Linked DNA regions of Elephas maximus indicus. The protein of the gene in region 1 purifies or fractionates together with the protein of each later gene. This does not show direct contact. Links are inferred from orthologs where the notes say so. Each region holds a gene or a part of one and is shown in the gene's direction. Other genes may lie near its edges.

Region 1 (7,796 bases):
GGACAAGGCTTCGAGGGCACAGAACTTCTACATATAATTCTATTTGTGTGTGTACAGCACTAAGTGAAGTGTAAAACACAAAAACAAAAAACTAAACCTGTTGCCTTTGAGTCAATTCCTACTCATAGTGTCACTATAGTGAAGTGTAGTCGTGAGTAAATCAGTTTTTTTCCCCCCTCTATGAGCCAAAGTATTTAACTGTGTTTTATTGACTATGCAAAGGCATTCAGTTGTGTGGGTCATAACAAATTAACAGATAACATTGCGAAGAAGGGGAATTGCAGAACACTTACTTGTGCTCGTGAAGGACCTAAACATAGACCAAGAGACAGTCATTCGAACGGAACAAGGGGATACTGTGTGTTTTAAAGTCAAGAAAGTTGTGGGTCGGGGTTGTATCCTTTTACCATACTTATTCAATCTGTATGCTGAGCAAACAATCTGAGAAACTGAACTATATGAAGAAGAATGAGGCATCAGGATTGGAGGAAGACTCATTTAACAACCTGCGATATGCAGATGACACAACCTTGTTTGCTGAAAGAGGACCTGAAGCACTTACTGATGAAGATCAAAGACTATAGCCTTCAGTATGGATTACACCTCAACATAAAGAAAACAAAAATCCTCACAACTGGACCAATAAGCAACATCATGATAAATGGAGAAAATATTGAAGCTGTCAAGGATTTCATTTTACATGGATTCATACTCAATACCAATGGAGGCAGCAATCAAGAAGTCAAAGTATTACATTGGGCAAATCTGCTGCAAAACACCTTTTTCAAGTGTTGAAAAGCAAAGATGTCACTTTGAGGATGAAAGTGCACCTGACCAAGCCATGGTATTTTCAGTTGCCTCATATGCATGCAAAAGCTGGGCAATAAATAAGGAAGACTGAAGAAGAATTGATGTATTTGAATTATGGTGTTGGTGAAGAATACTGAATACACCATGGACTGCCATAAGAGTGAACAAATCTGTCTTGGAAGAACTACAGCCAGAATGCTCCTTAGAAGCAAGGATGGCAAGACTGCGTCTTACTTACTTTGGACATGTTGTCAGGAGGGATTGATCCCTAGAGAAGGTCATTATGCTTGGTAAAGTACAGGGTCAGCGAAAAAGAGGAAGACCCTCAATGAGATGGACTGGCACAGTGGCTGCAACAATGGGCCAAGCATAACAAGGATTGTGAGGATGGCGCAGGACTGGGCAGTGTTTCGTTCTGTTGCTATCTATGAGTTGGAATCAACTTGACAGTATGTAACGACAACATGAGTCAAAGCAAAAAAATAATTTCATCTCTTTTTATATCTGCGTCATATACAGTCTAGATTTCTAACTCACTCAGAGCTTGGTTTGCCCATATCTGAGAGTATTGAAGATTATTCCATTGGTACTAAATAATAAAGATGGTGATAATGATGGTATTGATAAGAACACCTTACCCAAGGCCACATAGACACCAAGTGAGTTTGGCAGGATTTGAACACAGATTTACCTGTAGTGCCAAAGCCTCTGCTATCGTCACACTGTCACATGGCTCTTTGACCAAGAAATAATGAGGAGAACATGACCTATCACACCAACACTGGCTGTGGTTCATAGGCCTAGACTTAAAAAAAAAAGCATCTGCAAAAGCATGAGTAAATCACGGCCCTGGAGGGATTTACAATACGGGCTTTAATGCAGGGAATCTGTGACAGAGGAATCAAGAGCCAAATGGGACAGTGAGAGAACCAGAGATCTGCAACTCCATGAAGCCACTACACAGTGAAGTCATCAGAGAGACCAGGTCACCCAGTGAAAACTGGAGCCACAGGGGAAACCTAGTTCTGGCTGGGGAAGTGCCCCTGCGGCAGAGAGAGGCCAGAAATGCCTTGGTTCTCCCTTCCTGTCTCCCCCAATCTCCTGCCAGTACTTCCCATTGGCCATACCTAATCCACACATCCAGGAGCCTGGAAAACCTTTATGGGTTCTACGCCTCCTAATACAGAGCGGGGTCAAGTGGGGCAAGGACTGGGTCTGAGGACATAGACCAAAACTGGCACAGCCTGGATTTTGTTGTTGGCTCCTTTAAATAGTAAGCTCCCCTTCCCAACCCCTGCCAAGTATTTTTAAAGGAATTTGTATCAAACCCTTCTTTTTTTTTTTTTAAATCACATAGGACTTTTCTAAAAAAGATCTACTATGAAAACAAGTCCCTGGGTGGTGCAAACGGTTAAATGCTCAACTACTAGCCAAAAGGCTGGCAGTTTGAACACACCCAGAGGTGCCTCGGAAGACAGACCTGGCGATCTGCTTCTGAAAGGTCAGACTTGAAAACCTTATGGAGCAGTTCTACTCTGCACGCATGGTGTGGCCTTGAGTTGGAACTGACTCGTGGCAAACAACAACTATATAAACAGATATCTGTTCATACCTGTAAGTCACTGAATACCGGAAAACAAAGAAACCCTTATTGAACGTCTCTTTGCTAATAGCTAGTAGAAACATTTGCCAGGCTAACAATAAGGAATATGAATTTTGTTTGACTTTTATTATGTGGGAGCTACAATTGGTGTATGGTCATTTGGCTAATGGTTTTCAATTTCTTTGGAAGACTAAATTACTGAAATTTTTTGGGTCTTCTGCATGTTTCTGCATGGTCTGAGCAGCCGGCAAGCTTGTAGTAAGAGTCCTGGACATAATTCTTCAGAAATGTGAAGGTGTTGCAAACTTCTGGATCTCTGAAGGAAGTTCTTGGATAAAGTCCAGTTAGCTAACTCTGGAGACTCACAGCTGCTACTCGTGAACTGATGGACAGTCATACCAAAGGGGGCATTAACGTGCTCTCCAGAGAGAGATGACCAGGCAAGGCATGGGTGGGGTACCTTTCAAACAAATCTGCTCTGTTGCTGACAAGACAGTCAACTGGTTTTTCCTTTCCTCCAAATAGCTTGTGAGCTATAAAAATAGCTGAGGTCTTATTAGATATTGCATTAAAAGAGATTCTGGGCAGATTATATTTGTGTGCTGCCTCACTGTCAGAGGAATTCCAGAAAAACAACTTACAAATGGTGAAGCGGGAGAGCTGTGAGGTTCCAGCTCCAGTAGCACTGAGCAGCAGGACAGCACCAGAGCCTCCTCAGGTAGCCAAGAGGAGCAGGCAGGATGTCTTCTGAGAGCACATCTCCCCCCACTGACAGGATTAAAAAAAAAAAAAAAAAGTTTCAGATCACCTGCATCTTTTGAAGGAGGTGGGTTGGTAGGCTAATTATGTGGTTAAGATCACAGACTTTGGAATATATTTTTCCTTTTAATTTCACAGAACTGTTCCCTCTCTTCTTTCCTTATCCTGTTACCTGAATAAGCCGGTTATCACCCTTCACCTGTCCCACTGTCACAGCCACCGAGGGCTCCCCCAGCCTCTAGGACAGTGTCCACATTCCCGGGCGGGACATTTCACTTGCCTACCTTCCAGCCTCTGTCTAAAGCCTACCTGCCTGCCGGCCACCAGCTCTCCCCATGCTTCTGTTCTGTTCTGGGGCTCACCCACAAGACCAACTTCAAGGCATAATCCAAACACCATGCCCGGGTGAGGTCTTTGTCCGCGGTGTGTCCTGGCTGGGTTCATTGCCCATCCTGGACTTTTGTACCTATTGTCTGCTCTCTGTCTCCCCCAAAGCCACTCACGAGGACAGGCTGTGTCTTATGCCTTTTGTTATTGCCCAACGTCCATCGCCTAGGTCAGAATATCTGGAAAGTATTTTACAGTTTGAAAAGTGTTTTTGCATATTTGCTCAATGAACCGTCACAATGCTTAGGCGGCAATATTTTCTCATTATACAAGCGAGGGAACCGAGGCTCAGAAAGATCAGGTGACTCGAGCATGTTAAACTGTCATGTTCTGCTTTCCTGGGTCCCCGAGGGGCCAGAGAGAAAGCATGGGATTGAGAACTGTACAGGGCTGGGTTTGAATCCGACTCAGCCACTACCTGGCTAAGGAGCCTCAGGGAAGCACTTCACTCCCCTGCGCTCACGTCCGAGGAAAATAATTCCAACTCGGGATTGTTCTGCGGATTTTTTTTTTATGCCTATGAAATGTCTAACAGCGCTTGGCGAGTAGCGGGAACTGTAAATGTGAGTTCCCTTTCTGACCCCAAGCTTGGCGAGCTACTTCTCCTATTTCTACAACAGCTCCTCCTTCTCTGAGCTTCCGAGGGCACTGGCGGGTGCCAACTGGGGAGCGCCGTGTCGGTGTGACGCGATAGCTGCATCGCGTACCCGGCATCCTTAAAGGAACTTGGAGATAACACAGGCATAGCTTGGAAAGGGCAGTGGGCAGAGCGCCGAGGGACCCTGGAAGGCAGGGGTGGAATGGAGGGGCCTGTGGGGGTGTCGGTCCACAAAGGGAAAGCGGGTGTACCGCCCTCGCCCCACCGAGAGGACAACGTTGCTCTCCCACCTCAGTCTCCCCCGCGTGCCCAGTGCTCGCTCTCCACCTCCCGCTCCCTTCCCAGCTCCGACACGGTCTCTAGGGCCTGGAGAAGCCGGGCGAATCGCAGCTCGGGGAGGGGAGGGACAGACCCCGCCCCGCCCCTCTGCCTGCCCCCCGCCAGGGACGGACCCCGCCCTTCTGTCTGCCCCTCCTCCCCCGCCCCGTGCGGAGCCGGCCGGCGCTGGTGGTGGCGGGACATGCGCAGAGCGCCGGGCGCAGGCGGCGGTGGGCCGGGCGCGCGCTCGTACTTTCTCTCCTGCGGGAGCGGCGGGCGGGCGGGCGGCGCTGCGGGGGGCGCGGCCGGCCGGCGTGGGAGCGGCGCGAGGCGCCCGTCAGCCCCAGCTCATGGACGCGGACCGTGTGGCTGGGACCGCCGTGGCGGCGGGACCCTCGAGTCCGCAGCGCCGCTTCTAGGGGATGCGAGCGGCAGAACTTGAGCTGCGGTGACCCGAGCCGGGGGAGAGCGAGGCAGGCGGCGGCGGCGGCGGCGAGTCCCCAGGGACCCTCGGGCCGCGGGTGCGGGTGAGGGCAGCGGCGGCGCGGGGGCTGGGGGCAGAAGTGATGCGAGCGCGCCCGGGGAAACTGCCCGCGGCCACCAGGAGCATCTGCCGCCGGCGCCACTGCGCGCGGCCCGGGACCCGGCCATGGAGGCGCTGAACGGCCCCGCGGGCGGCGGCTCCCCGGACGCGAAGCCGCAGCCGCCTGGCCAGCACCACCGCCACCACCACCTCCACCCGCTGGCCGAGAGGAAGCGGCTGCACCGCGCACCCTCGCCCGCCAGACCCTTCCTCAAGGACCTGCTTGTGCGGCCAGCGGCGCACGGGCCGGCTGCCCCCTCCTCGGCTCGGGCCCCGCCGCCCGCCGCCCCGCGCTCGCCCAGCCTTGCGGGCAAGACGCCGTACTCGCCCGTGTCCCTGGCTGCGCCGGGCCGCCTTTCTCGGCGCGGCGGCGGCGCCCCCGGGGCGAAAGATAAGCCCCCGGCGGGCGCCGGGGCCAGGGCGGCGGGCGGCGCCAAGGCCGCCCCAGGCCCCAGGAGGGCGGCGCGCGCGGCGCCCGCCGAGCTGCTGCCCCGGTCTGGGAAGCCGCCACCGCTCGGAACCGAGCCGGCGCTGGCAGCTGCCAAGAACCGCAAGGCCCGGCGCGGCTCTGGGCCCCCCGGCGCGCCTCCGGCTCGGGCCGCCGAGCCCCCGTCGTCCGCCCGGCTCCCTGCCGTGACCCTCCCAGTGACCTCGGCGGCCGCCGCTGGCGCGCGCATCAGCTCCACGGATAGCAGCTCCGACCTCTCCGACTGCCCATCCGAGCCCCTGTCGGACGAACAGCGCCCGCTCCCCGCCGCCAGTAGCGACGCCGAATCGGGCACCGGCTCCAGCGACCGGGAGCCCCCGCGAGGAGCCCTCGCGCCGAGCCCCGCAGCCCAGGGCGCACCGCCGGGCAGCCCTGAGTCCCCCGCGCTGCTCGCAGCGTACCCCGGCGCCAGCACTTGTCCTGGGGGCCGGAGCAGCCCGGGCGGGGTCTCTGAGGGGTTCCCTGGGTCCGGCCCGGCAGACGATGCTCGGGGCCGCGCGCCACTAGAGCGAGCGGCCCCCGGGAGGGGGGAAGGAAGCGGTGGGACCCCCAAGGAGCCCAGCCTGGACGAGCAGCCCCGGATGGTGCCAGCGGCGGCGGAGGAGGAGCTGCTGCGGGAGATGGAGGAGCTGCGCTCGGAGAACGACTATCTCAAGGTGAGCGGCGTGTCCCGGGGCCGGATGCCGCAGAGATCCACGAGCACGCCCTCGGGGCTGTACGAGCGCCTTCTCGGTCTCCCTTCCTCCCCGCACATGCTGGGCGCTGGGACCTTGAGCCAGAACTTCGGAAGGCTCAGAACCCCAAGACTTGTGGGGCCCAGCCAGTGTGCGTCTACGCTGCTCTTTCTAGAAGTTTTGCGTATACCGTGGCACCTCTTGACGTTTGGGGGTACATATTGGGTACCTCAGCCGATCTTCCCGTCCCCTGTGTGCCCACCCTCACCTGTGGGAGGGTTCCCCCAGCGAAGGAGCGCGGTCCGGGAAATTGCGTGTTTGCGTCGGTTTCGGCCACCGGTTCTCCTGCCGGCGGAAAAGAGTGAGGTGCCTGCGGGATCTCCTCGGGGCCCCTGTGGCACAGAAAGGACCCCACCGTTTTCGGGGGGTAAACCTTAAGTCCAGGGGTCTCTTGAGTGTTCCGCTGGCGGGTCCTTTGTGAGTGTCCTGAAGCCGGGCATTTCTGTGTTAGGAGAGCCCGATTCCTTCTTACGCAAAGACTTTCGAGGGAATCGCAGCCTCCGCCGCCCTGCCTCTTGAGTCCTCTGGGGCAAGGCCTGTTGATGATGGCCTCCCGGTGTTGTTAGCATTAAGGCACTTAGACCGACTCCATCTTTTCTCAGAGAGGAGGCTGGTACTGCAGAACAGAGGGGCTAGGCGACACTGGCCTGCCAGAGGACCGAGGTGCGGCTGTTAGAGTAGTAAATAACTCGGTGGTACCTGTCAAGATTCTGATAAATATCCGCCCAAACCGAGGGAGTGGCCTTCCTCCCTCGGTGGGTAGTGTGATTTGAGCTGTTTTCTCAGATAGGCCTACCCCATTTAGGGCCAGCCTTTGGCTCCAGCCCTACGGCCTAGGTTTTTCAGGTGAATGGTGGTGGCGTGTGCTGTTCAGACTGGGATGAGAGCGCCTTAGCTGCTGGGTAGTCCTAAACCTTAGCCTTATCAGGAGCTGCTCTAACCAAGTGTTGTGGAAAAGGGAAACAGTGAGGCAGAAAAAGCGAGGTGAGAAGAGAGCAGATGGGCACCTGGGTGCGATGTTCCAAGTTGACACATTGGCTTTTGCCACCTCTTACATAACAGACAGGAGAGTGAAATCCCAGAGTGCTGAAGAGAAAGGGCAGCTGTGTTGTGTGTCACTCTATCAGGAAAACAGCCCTTTGCAAATCCTCAACACAGGAGCGCTCTCTGTAAGCTAACATGAGCTAATCTTGTTCATTTTTGTAGCCCCAGTCTTAGCATAATCCCTGGCCACATGACTGCCGCCAGACCAAAACCCAGTGCCGTGGAGTCGGAATGACTGCTGAGCAACAGACAATTGAGTTTCTTTAGAAAAAAAAAAAAAAAGTTCTCCGTACACTTCTGATGTTAAGGTAGCCAACCCGACATCACTTCAGGGTTCCTCTCTGGATAACTTGCTATTTGCCTAATTTTTTCACTGTTAGATGCTCAGTGAATGAAATGGGCTTCTGCCCTGGTGCCCACCCTGATGTATTTGATATGTCAGTTGATCCTCAACAACACAGGAGACTATGTTA
Region 2 (7,932 bases), on another chromosome or scaffold:
TTACCCATATTTATTTAATGTTGGAGTGTTCCAGGACTATACCCTCGGTCCCCTTTTCTTTCTGCACTCATTCCCTGGGTAATCTCATCCCGTCCCATGGCTTTAAATGCCATCTCGGTGCCACACTCCCACATTGATGTCTCCAGCCCAGAGATTGATGTCTCCCACCCTGTTCCCACCCCCACTAGCAGGGCCTGACCTTCTCTGATCTTCGACTTCCATATCAGTAAACTGGGGGAAACAACAGTGTCTAACTGCTCACTGTGTAAGAATTCACTGTGAAAATGCCCACACAATGCACAGCTCTCAACACATGTTAAAAATGAACAAAGGGGAACAAGACCGGAAGTTCCTAGTGATGGTCGGGGAGGTGGCGGGGGATAGAGGGGTAGTAAATAAACATTCTATTTCATCTATTCTTAAGACATTTATTTTTACATCCAAACATCTTTGGAATTTGGATGCATCGTACAACTGATGATGTCATAAACTCAGTGGAATATGGTAGATGTCAGTAGTGATATGGATGGAAATTCATACATGGAAATTCAGGGATGTCAAGAACAGGGTAAAGCTTGGCAATGAGAGGGTATCTAATGAGTCAGAGGGCATCATGGGTCTTGCCTCACTCCAGGCGTCTGACTCTTGATCGGAAGGCAATTCCAGACTGTCCCCCACTCTTCCCTACAGGCACCTGCCCAGAACCAATGTGCTCTCGGGCTCCGCTGGTTGGGAGAGAAAGAAGAGGAAGAACCACAATATCACGGAGGTGACAATTAAGGATGTCTTCTCCTCCAGCACCTTTAACTCCTCTTGGCTTCTTTCCTCCCTACCTATGGGTACTGGGGGAGAGCTACCCAAAGGACCCTTGTACCTGCAAGAGCTAGAATCCCAGAACTCTTGTGGGCACCGCAGCTGTTCCTGGAGGACTGATCCTATGGCTTGGGCCTGTGGTAGGTGCCTTTACTTTTGTATTTGTTCCGCTAAAAGCTGCTCAGGCTGGAAAACTTGGAATCATCCTCAACTCCTCTCTCTCACGTATCTCAAACCCAACCCATCACAAAGTCCTGTTGGCTCCCCCTTCCAAATAGATCCGAAATTTGACCACTTCTTATTACTTTCATTGCTGCTGCCTGGTCCAAGCCACTGTCACTGCTCACTTGAGTTACTGCAAAACCCTCCTTCCTGGTTCCAGTTTTCTGTTCTTGCCCTGTCCGTCCCTTCATTCTCAATCTAGCAATCGGTGAGAGCATGGCACTCCAGCGGCTGTCTTAGTTATCTAGTGCTGCTGTAAGAGAAATACCACAAGCGGATGGCCTTAACAAAGAGAAGTTCATTCTCTCACAGTCTAGTAGGCTACAAGTCCAAATTTGGGCATCAGCTCCAGGAGAAAGTTTCTCTTTAGCGGTTCTGGAAGAAGGTACTGGTCATCAATCTTCCCTGGTGGAGGAGCTTCTCAGTGCAGGGACCCCAGGTCCGAAGGACACACAATGCTGCCAGTGCTTCTTTCTTGATCATATGAGGTTCCCAACTCTCTGCTCACTTCTCTTTTCTTTCATCTCTTGTAAAATAAAAGCTGATGCAGGCCACACCCCAGGGAATCTCCTTTATTACACTGGATCAGGAATGTGACCTGAGTAAGGGTGTTACATCCCACCCTAATCCTCTTTAACATAACCCAATCTCACCTCATTAACCACAGCAGAGATTAGGATTTACAACACATAGGAAAATTACATCAATCACAAAAATGGAGGACAATCACACAATACTGGGAATCATGGCCTAACCAAGTTGACACATACTTTTAGAGGTCACAATTCAATTCATGACAGGCTCCCATCTCCCTCTGAGGGAAAGCCAAAGCAACGGCCCTCCAGGGCTGGATCCCCATCACCTCTCTGCCTTCATCTCCTACTACTCATCTCCTTGCTCACCTGCCTCCAGTCTTGTTGGCATCTTTGTTCCTCAAACAGGCCAGGTTAGCTCCTGCCCCAGGGCCTTACCACTGACTGTTCTCTCTCCCTGGGATGCTTTTCCTTGAGACTCACTCCCTCACCTCCTTCAAGTCTTCGCTTAAATGTCACCTTCTGAGTGAAGCCTACACTGACCACCTTAGTACTGCAGCCTGTTTGCCACCCCCTGCTTTCCTGATCCCCCTTACCTGGCTCTCTCTCTCCCCTTCCCCGCCATGGCATTTCCATTATGTTTATCACCTGTCTTCCCTTCTATGGGCAGTGTAAAGCTCCCCGTGGGCAGAGAGCTTTCTCTGTTTTGTTAGCTGGTATACTAGAACCGTGCCTTGCACATAGCAGATGTCAATAGAAATTTATTCAGTAAATGAATTAATCTGCAAATTAGAGAGGGGTAAGTGTGGCAATAATTAATCTTTAAGCAAGGCTAGGTGGCCTCGGGGATTTGAGAAGGTGTCATTTGACCTGGATCTTGGAGTGCATCTGGGAGCTGGGGTCAGTGACAGGCAGTCCAGGTGAAGGGATCAGCCTGAACAGGGCAGGAGTAGGGGAGGGGTCAAGCAATCATCCCTAGCTGGAAAGTATATCAGCAAGGTAAGTTGAGGTGAGAGTGTGCAAAGTTTCAAATGCAGGCTAAAGGCTTTATCCTACAGCCAGGACTGGCTACATAATTTGTAGGGTTCAGTGCAAAACGAAAACGCAGGGGGCCCCCTTATTTAAAATGTCAAGATGATGAAAGCATTAAGCCAAGCACAGGGCCCTTCTAAGAGCAGGGCTTTGTGCAACTGCATAAGTCACACGCCCATGAAGCCAGCCTTGTCTCTAGACCACAGGAGACCTTGCGACGACCTTCTAGCAGGGCAGAGATGGGACTGGAGCTGGACTGTAGGAAGATTATTTTGGCATGACTGGTGTGGTAGGTTGGGAGTCAAGGGAGACCACAGGCAGCTCTGAGCTCAGCCAAAGATGGGGTGGGTGGTGGGAAGGGGGAGGGCTGGCAGTCAGAGGGCAGAGGTGAGGCAGGGGTTACAGCTTGAGTGAGTAGAAGCATAGAGGAGGTAAAATTTACTTAGATGAGCATGGGCCAGGGAGAGACCCTGAGTCCCATTTCCTTTGCTCCTCCAATCCCTTCCTTTTCCTGCCCCAGGCCTGAGAGGTGGTATCTGGCACAGCAATCACCATGTGGTCCCTGTCTCCCTTTGGCCACCAGAGGGCAGATTATTCTCATGAATTTTTTGAGGAAATTAGGGTAGGGGGAGTGGGAGGTAACGCTCTCCTTACCTCTTCCTCTTTTTTCCTCACCTCCCTTTGTGCTTCATCATCAACTTCTTCCCCAATGGCTGGGTGCCTGAATGGAGGTAGGGTGGGGTGTGGAGAGGTGTCCAAGAGTCTCTTGCAATTATTAAGACTGTGGGTTGTACCTGTTGCCTTAGGAAGTATTTTTCACACCCCTCCCGTTGCATCTGTTTGGCTGCCTATTTCTCTAACTTATGTGGCCAAGGGCTCTACTCAGATGCTCCACCTGAGAGTTAAAGTCAAATGTCAGAGGCCCAAGCAGCACCTTCTCCATAACCGCTGGAGCCTCCTCTGCTTCTGTACCTTTGAGGATGTATTGCTTGAGTCTGGTCTCTGGCTCCTGTGAAGCTGCTGGCTCCTGCCCACCTTAAGCGGCTGTTGAGCCCCGGGGCATGAGGAGGATGGACAAGTTCCAACATGTCCGGAGTATGATGGGTGGGTGCAGCTTGGAGCCAGAGAAATCAGACCTGTCTACAGCCTCTCCTTGGTGAAAAGGTCCAGGGGGAGGTGAGGAGTGGGCTCGGGTTGCCCACATGGGCTTCCTGTTAAGTCAGGGACTCTCCTAAGCTGGGAGGGTCCTCAGAACTCGTGAATCCCATGACCTCACTTTACTGTTGGGGAAATAGGTCCAGACAAAGAAAGGAACTTCTGGTGCCCATTCTTTGTGCCATCCTGAGGAATTCTCATTTTCAACCAGTTTCTCTTTCCCATGAGTTTTCTCTGTCTTAGATGGGATAACTGAAATGTGCATTAGAATGAGAAAGTCTCTCCTATCCAATCTTGCAGTGACGCTTAAAATGGTAAGTAGAATTCAAAGATATTATTTAGAATGTCAATGCTGGAACAAAGGCATGGATTCTCAGTTTACGGATGTGGGGCCAAGCTCAGAGGTGTTACGTGATTTTCCCAAGATCACACAGCAGTTTCACTCTGCAGAGCTCGGGCTGGGGCTCCTGTTTTCTGAGTGTTCTGCTGGGGGGACCTCCGGATCCCCCCGCAGCTGGGTGCGAAGGACGCTGACCTGGTGTCTGCCCGGGACCATGAGGATCCCTGACTAGTTGTGGGGCTAGGTGGATGGATGGATAAATAGAAGCCAAGACAGGCGGATGGCAGGCAGACAGGTAATAGACTAAGGCTGCATGTGGCAGGTGACACACACGTTGATAGATAGGTTGGATGATAAACGCGAAGATGGATCTTAGGAGCTGACTGACAGAGGGACGAACGGACACGCACACGGGCCAATCGCAGGAACGGCTAACAGCTTTATTTCTTCTACTTAGTCAAATAATCGCGCACGGTTGCCCACGCTCCATGTTCAAGCTTTGAAAATACCGGAAAACTGGCGGAAACAAACGAAGAGACAGACTCTGACCACCCCGGGGGACGACCGGACTTTCGCCCCGCCTCGGGTGTTGCCGGAAATGGGCGACGACCGCCCTCGATTACGGGGCGGGGCGGGGGCGTGGCCGACTCACAGCACGCGGAGGTGCTTCGGGTGTTTCCGAAAACTACCGAGAGCCGGTTTGAAGTGGGCGGGGAAAGGCCGGTGGGCGTGGCTGGATGGCTCTGGAGCGCCTGGAGTTTTTTTCGTGGATTTCCGCAAACAGAGTCGAAACCTGGGCTTCGGAGTCGAAGAGGCGCGCGCGCCCCGGGGCTTACCTTCTTCGGGTGTTTCCGGAACTCACCCGTAGTTCGTGGCTGGGAGGAGGAGGCCCGCCCCCCTCCCGTTCCTGGTCGCTTCGGATGTTTCCGGCTGCTGCCGGCGGAAAGAGCCGAGGGCCGGCGGTGGTGGCGGCCATGTTGGGAGCAGCAGGTCCGGCGGCGGCAGCCTGTGTGCCGGGCGCGGAGCAGTGCCGCTGAGGGCAGGGGAGGAGCGAGGCAGGCGGCCGGCTGCGGCGGCAGAGAGTAGGCGGAGCGGCGCGGCCCGGCCGAAAGGCGGCACAGCCCAGCCGGGGGTCGGGGGGGTGCGGTCCGGAGCCGCTCGGAGCCGGCGCGGCCTAGCCCGAGCGGCGCATCCCCGGGCTGGCGTGAGCGGCTGCCCGGCCTCCCCGCACCCCCGGCCGGGGCCCATGCGGCGGGTGCCCCTGCTGTGAGAAGCCCCGCCCGGCCGGGCTCCGCGCCTTTCCTTCCCTCCCTTCCTCCAAGCTTCTCGGTTCCCTCCCCTGAGATACCGGCGCCATGTCCAGCGCCCGGACCCCCCTACCCACGCTGAACGAGAGGGACACGGAGCAGGTAAGGAGCCCCGAGGGCTCCCCGAATTCTCTGGCTGGGCCCCTGCACCTTACGGAGCCTCCTCCCTCCTCTTCCATCCTGCAAGCTCGGCTGCCCTGTCATCTGGCTTCCGGCCCCGCACATCCCCCTTCCGAGTCCTGTCCTGGGACCCACCTCGTCCTGACTGCAGGCTGCACACTTGTCTTTCTGCCAGCCCCCCTTTCCTCTCACCGCCCTCCTGCGCTCTTCCGTGTCACATCCCCAGCTTCCCTTTCTCTTCCTTTTTTTCTCTCAGGGGCCTTTCTGGTCTTTCTCCACCCACGCTTAAAGCAGCCACCCTCCTGCTCCTCGAATAGCACCCCACGATTTGTCACAGATCTTTGTCCACCCCTTCTTCCATCTCCCTAGTCTGGCTTCCCCTCTGCCCTCACCGGTTCTCCCAGTCCCCGGTTCTCTCCCTCAGGGTCCTTGCCCCGGAGTGTGTTCTGATTCCTATCCCCTTTCAGTTCCCCAGCTTTTTCTACCCTGCTTCTTCCTTCTCCAAACTGTGCACTCCCTCTTGCTTGCAACCCACCAGCTCCACCCTCATCACCTTTCCAAGTCGTTCGCCTACTCTTTGCTCATCACTTTCCCTTCTTTTCTCCTGGAGCGCTCTGTTTCCTGGCGCTGGCATTTGTTGCTTCCGTGTTTCCCATACGGCTGCCATGCGCATAGATTTCCCACAGGTTGTCATCGGCGTTCCAGTTATCACTCTCTTGTGAGTCTTTGGATCCCTCGTGTAACCCTCCCTGGGGTCTGACGTTTCTGCCCCTCTGCCTCCTCTTCCTCACTGGCAGTGTTTTACCAGCCTTCTCCCGGGGCTCTTCCTACTGGCGGAAAGGCACTTGCTATTTCAGTCCCACTGTATTAACACAACCTGTTGCTCAGTCCTTTCCGTCCCTCGCTGCATCACCGGCCTTGCCTTGCGTTGTCATAAACAGCAACGCAAACCATGATGCCTTCCTGTCTCGTCCCTCCTGTTTCTGTCCCTTTTCATAGTATCTTACCCTTTGCTTGTGGCTTTCCTGTTTCACTACTCACTGCATCTTCCTTATTATGCCTCTTAATCAGTATCGCTTTTCATCTCCATGTCAGTCTCTTGCCTTTTTCACATGATATTTATTTTACCCACATGTGGCTCTCTGCATCCCCTTCCTATTGGCTAATCTTTGTAACTCCCAGTCCAGGAACTTTGCATGCTAGTTTCTTGAGCATGCAAGGACCCCTCAGCCTCAGGACCCCACAGGCTTCCCCTCCTGCTGGCAATCACTGCAGTAGATTGTCACCCAAGCCTTAGCCTTTTCTGTGTCATCACATCTCTGAGCTGAGCGGCGTCCACTTTCCACCCCTCCCCTTTCTTTCACCATCTCCGGTTGCCCTTGCTGACTCCTCTGTGGAGAGTCCCCTGCCTGTCACACCCTTCTTGGTGGAGAACTTTTACTAGGCCAAAAACTTGACTAGGGAAAGGAGCTCTGCTCCCTGGGGGCTGCAGTGCTTTTTGCATCCTTTCCACTCATCAGCTTCTTAATGGTTCCCTCTTCTCTTCTTTTTTCATATCCTGATAGAACCACTGTTATGTTCTCTTGCCTGTTAACATCTTCCATGGTTTTCATGCTTTTCCTATTTTGTTACCTACCCCCTCACTCTTGTCAACTGGGTAGTTAAGAACTCAAGAGGAGTTCTGGAGTTACAGAGAGGATTTTTTCCTGCAGTGGTTGACGCTTTTATTACTGATGGATTGGTTGCTTTTGGGGGTGAAATAGGGGCTGAGAAGGAGGGATGGTCGGTTTCTATTTCCTCACTGGGTTTGGCAACATGGGACTGAGGGCTTTGGAAACAGAGGGGCATGGTTCAGATCTCACAGTTTTTCAACCTTCCCCTGCCTGCCAGCCGTTTCTCTCTGCCTCCTGGGAACTATTCTCTCTAGGCCCTCTCTCACAACCTTTGTTTTAGCAGGTTGTCTCTGCTTAACCAGAGAACTTTCCCAGACTGTTGATTATGAGTTGGTAGGAGGAGGCCAAGTGACTGACTGGACTGGCACCCTCAGGCGTGTGGGGAGTGGAGATGGAGTGCCTCCTCTCTCCACAAGGCTGTGGGGCATTGTGTTCAGCAAAGGAGAGTAGCAGACTGCCGCAATGTGGTTTCTTTGTGCTGCATACTAAATGTAAATGTCGTTGCCAGTATTCTTTAAAACAAGAAAAAACATTAGCAGCAGCTCTTCTAGACACAAGGCCAGGGCTGCCAGAAGCGTTGGCTTCCCCTGGAATAGATCATGCCACCAGGTAAGAGCAAGAAACCTCTTGGTGCTGTTGCGATTTTAGTTAAAATTGTCATGGAAACTCAGTCTTGTGGTAAGAAGGCTTCCTGTCTCTCCTCGGCCTTAATGTTATGAAATAAAAAGAAAGGGATT

What was found.
Region 2: the proteins of MTCL1 (region 1) and MARK2 purify together in Homo sapiens (affinity purification with mass spectrometry; 5 studies listed by BioGRID and IntAct, with this or other methods). This does not show direct contact. The link is inferred for Elephas maximus indicus from reciprocal best matches to the Homo sapiens genes MTCL1 and MARK2.

The regions. Positions count from the first base shown.
Region 1 is NC_064829.1:14,791,847-14,799,642, reverse strand, and holds the start of MTCL1 (microtubule cross-linking factor 1), read left to right. Parts: upstream 1-4,759; 5' UTR 4,760-5,124; coding exon 5,125-6,201; intron 6,202-7,796. UniProt on the Homo sapiens protein: Microtubule-associated factor involved in the late phase of epithelial polarization and microtubule dynamics regulation.
Region 2 is NC_064825.1:127,035,876-127,043,807, forward strand, and holds the start of MARK2 (serine/threonine-protein kinase MARK2), read left to right. Parts: upstream 1-4,896; 5' UTR 4,897-5,450; coding exon 5,451-5,504; intron 5,505-5,522; exon of another isoform or gene 5,523-7,932. UniProt on the Homo sapiens protein: Serine/threonine-protein kinase. Involved in cell polarity and microtubule dynamics regulation. Phosphorylates CRTC2/TORC2, DCX, HDAC7, KIF13B, MAP2, MAP4 and RAB11FIP2. Phosphorylates the microtubule-associated protein MAPT/TAU.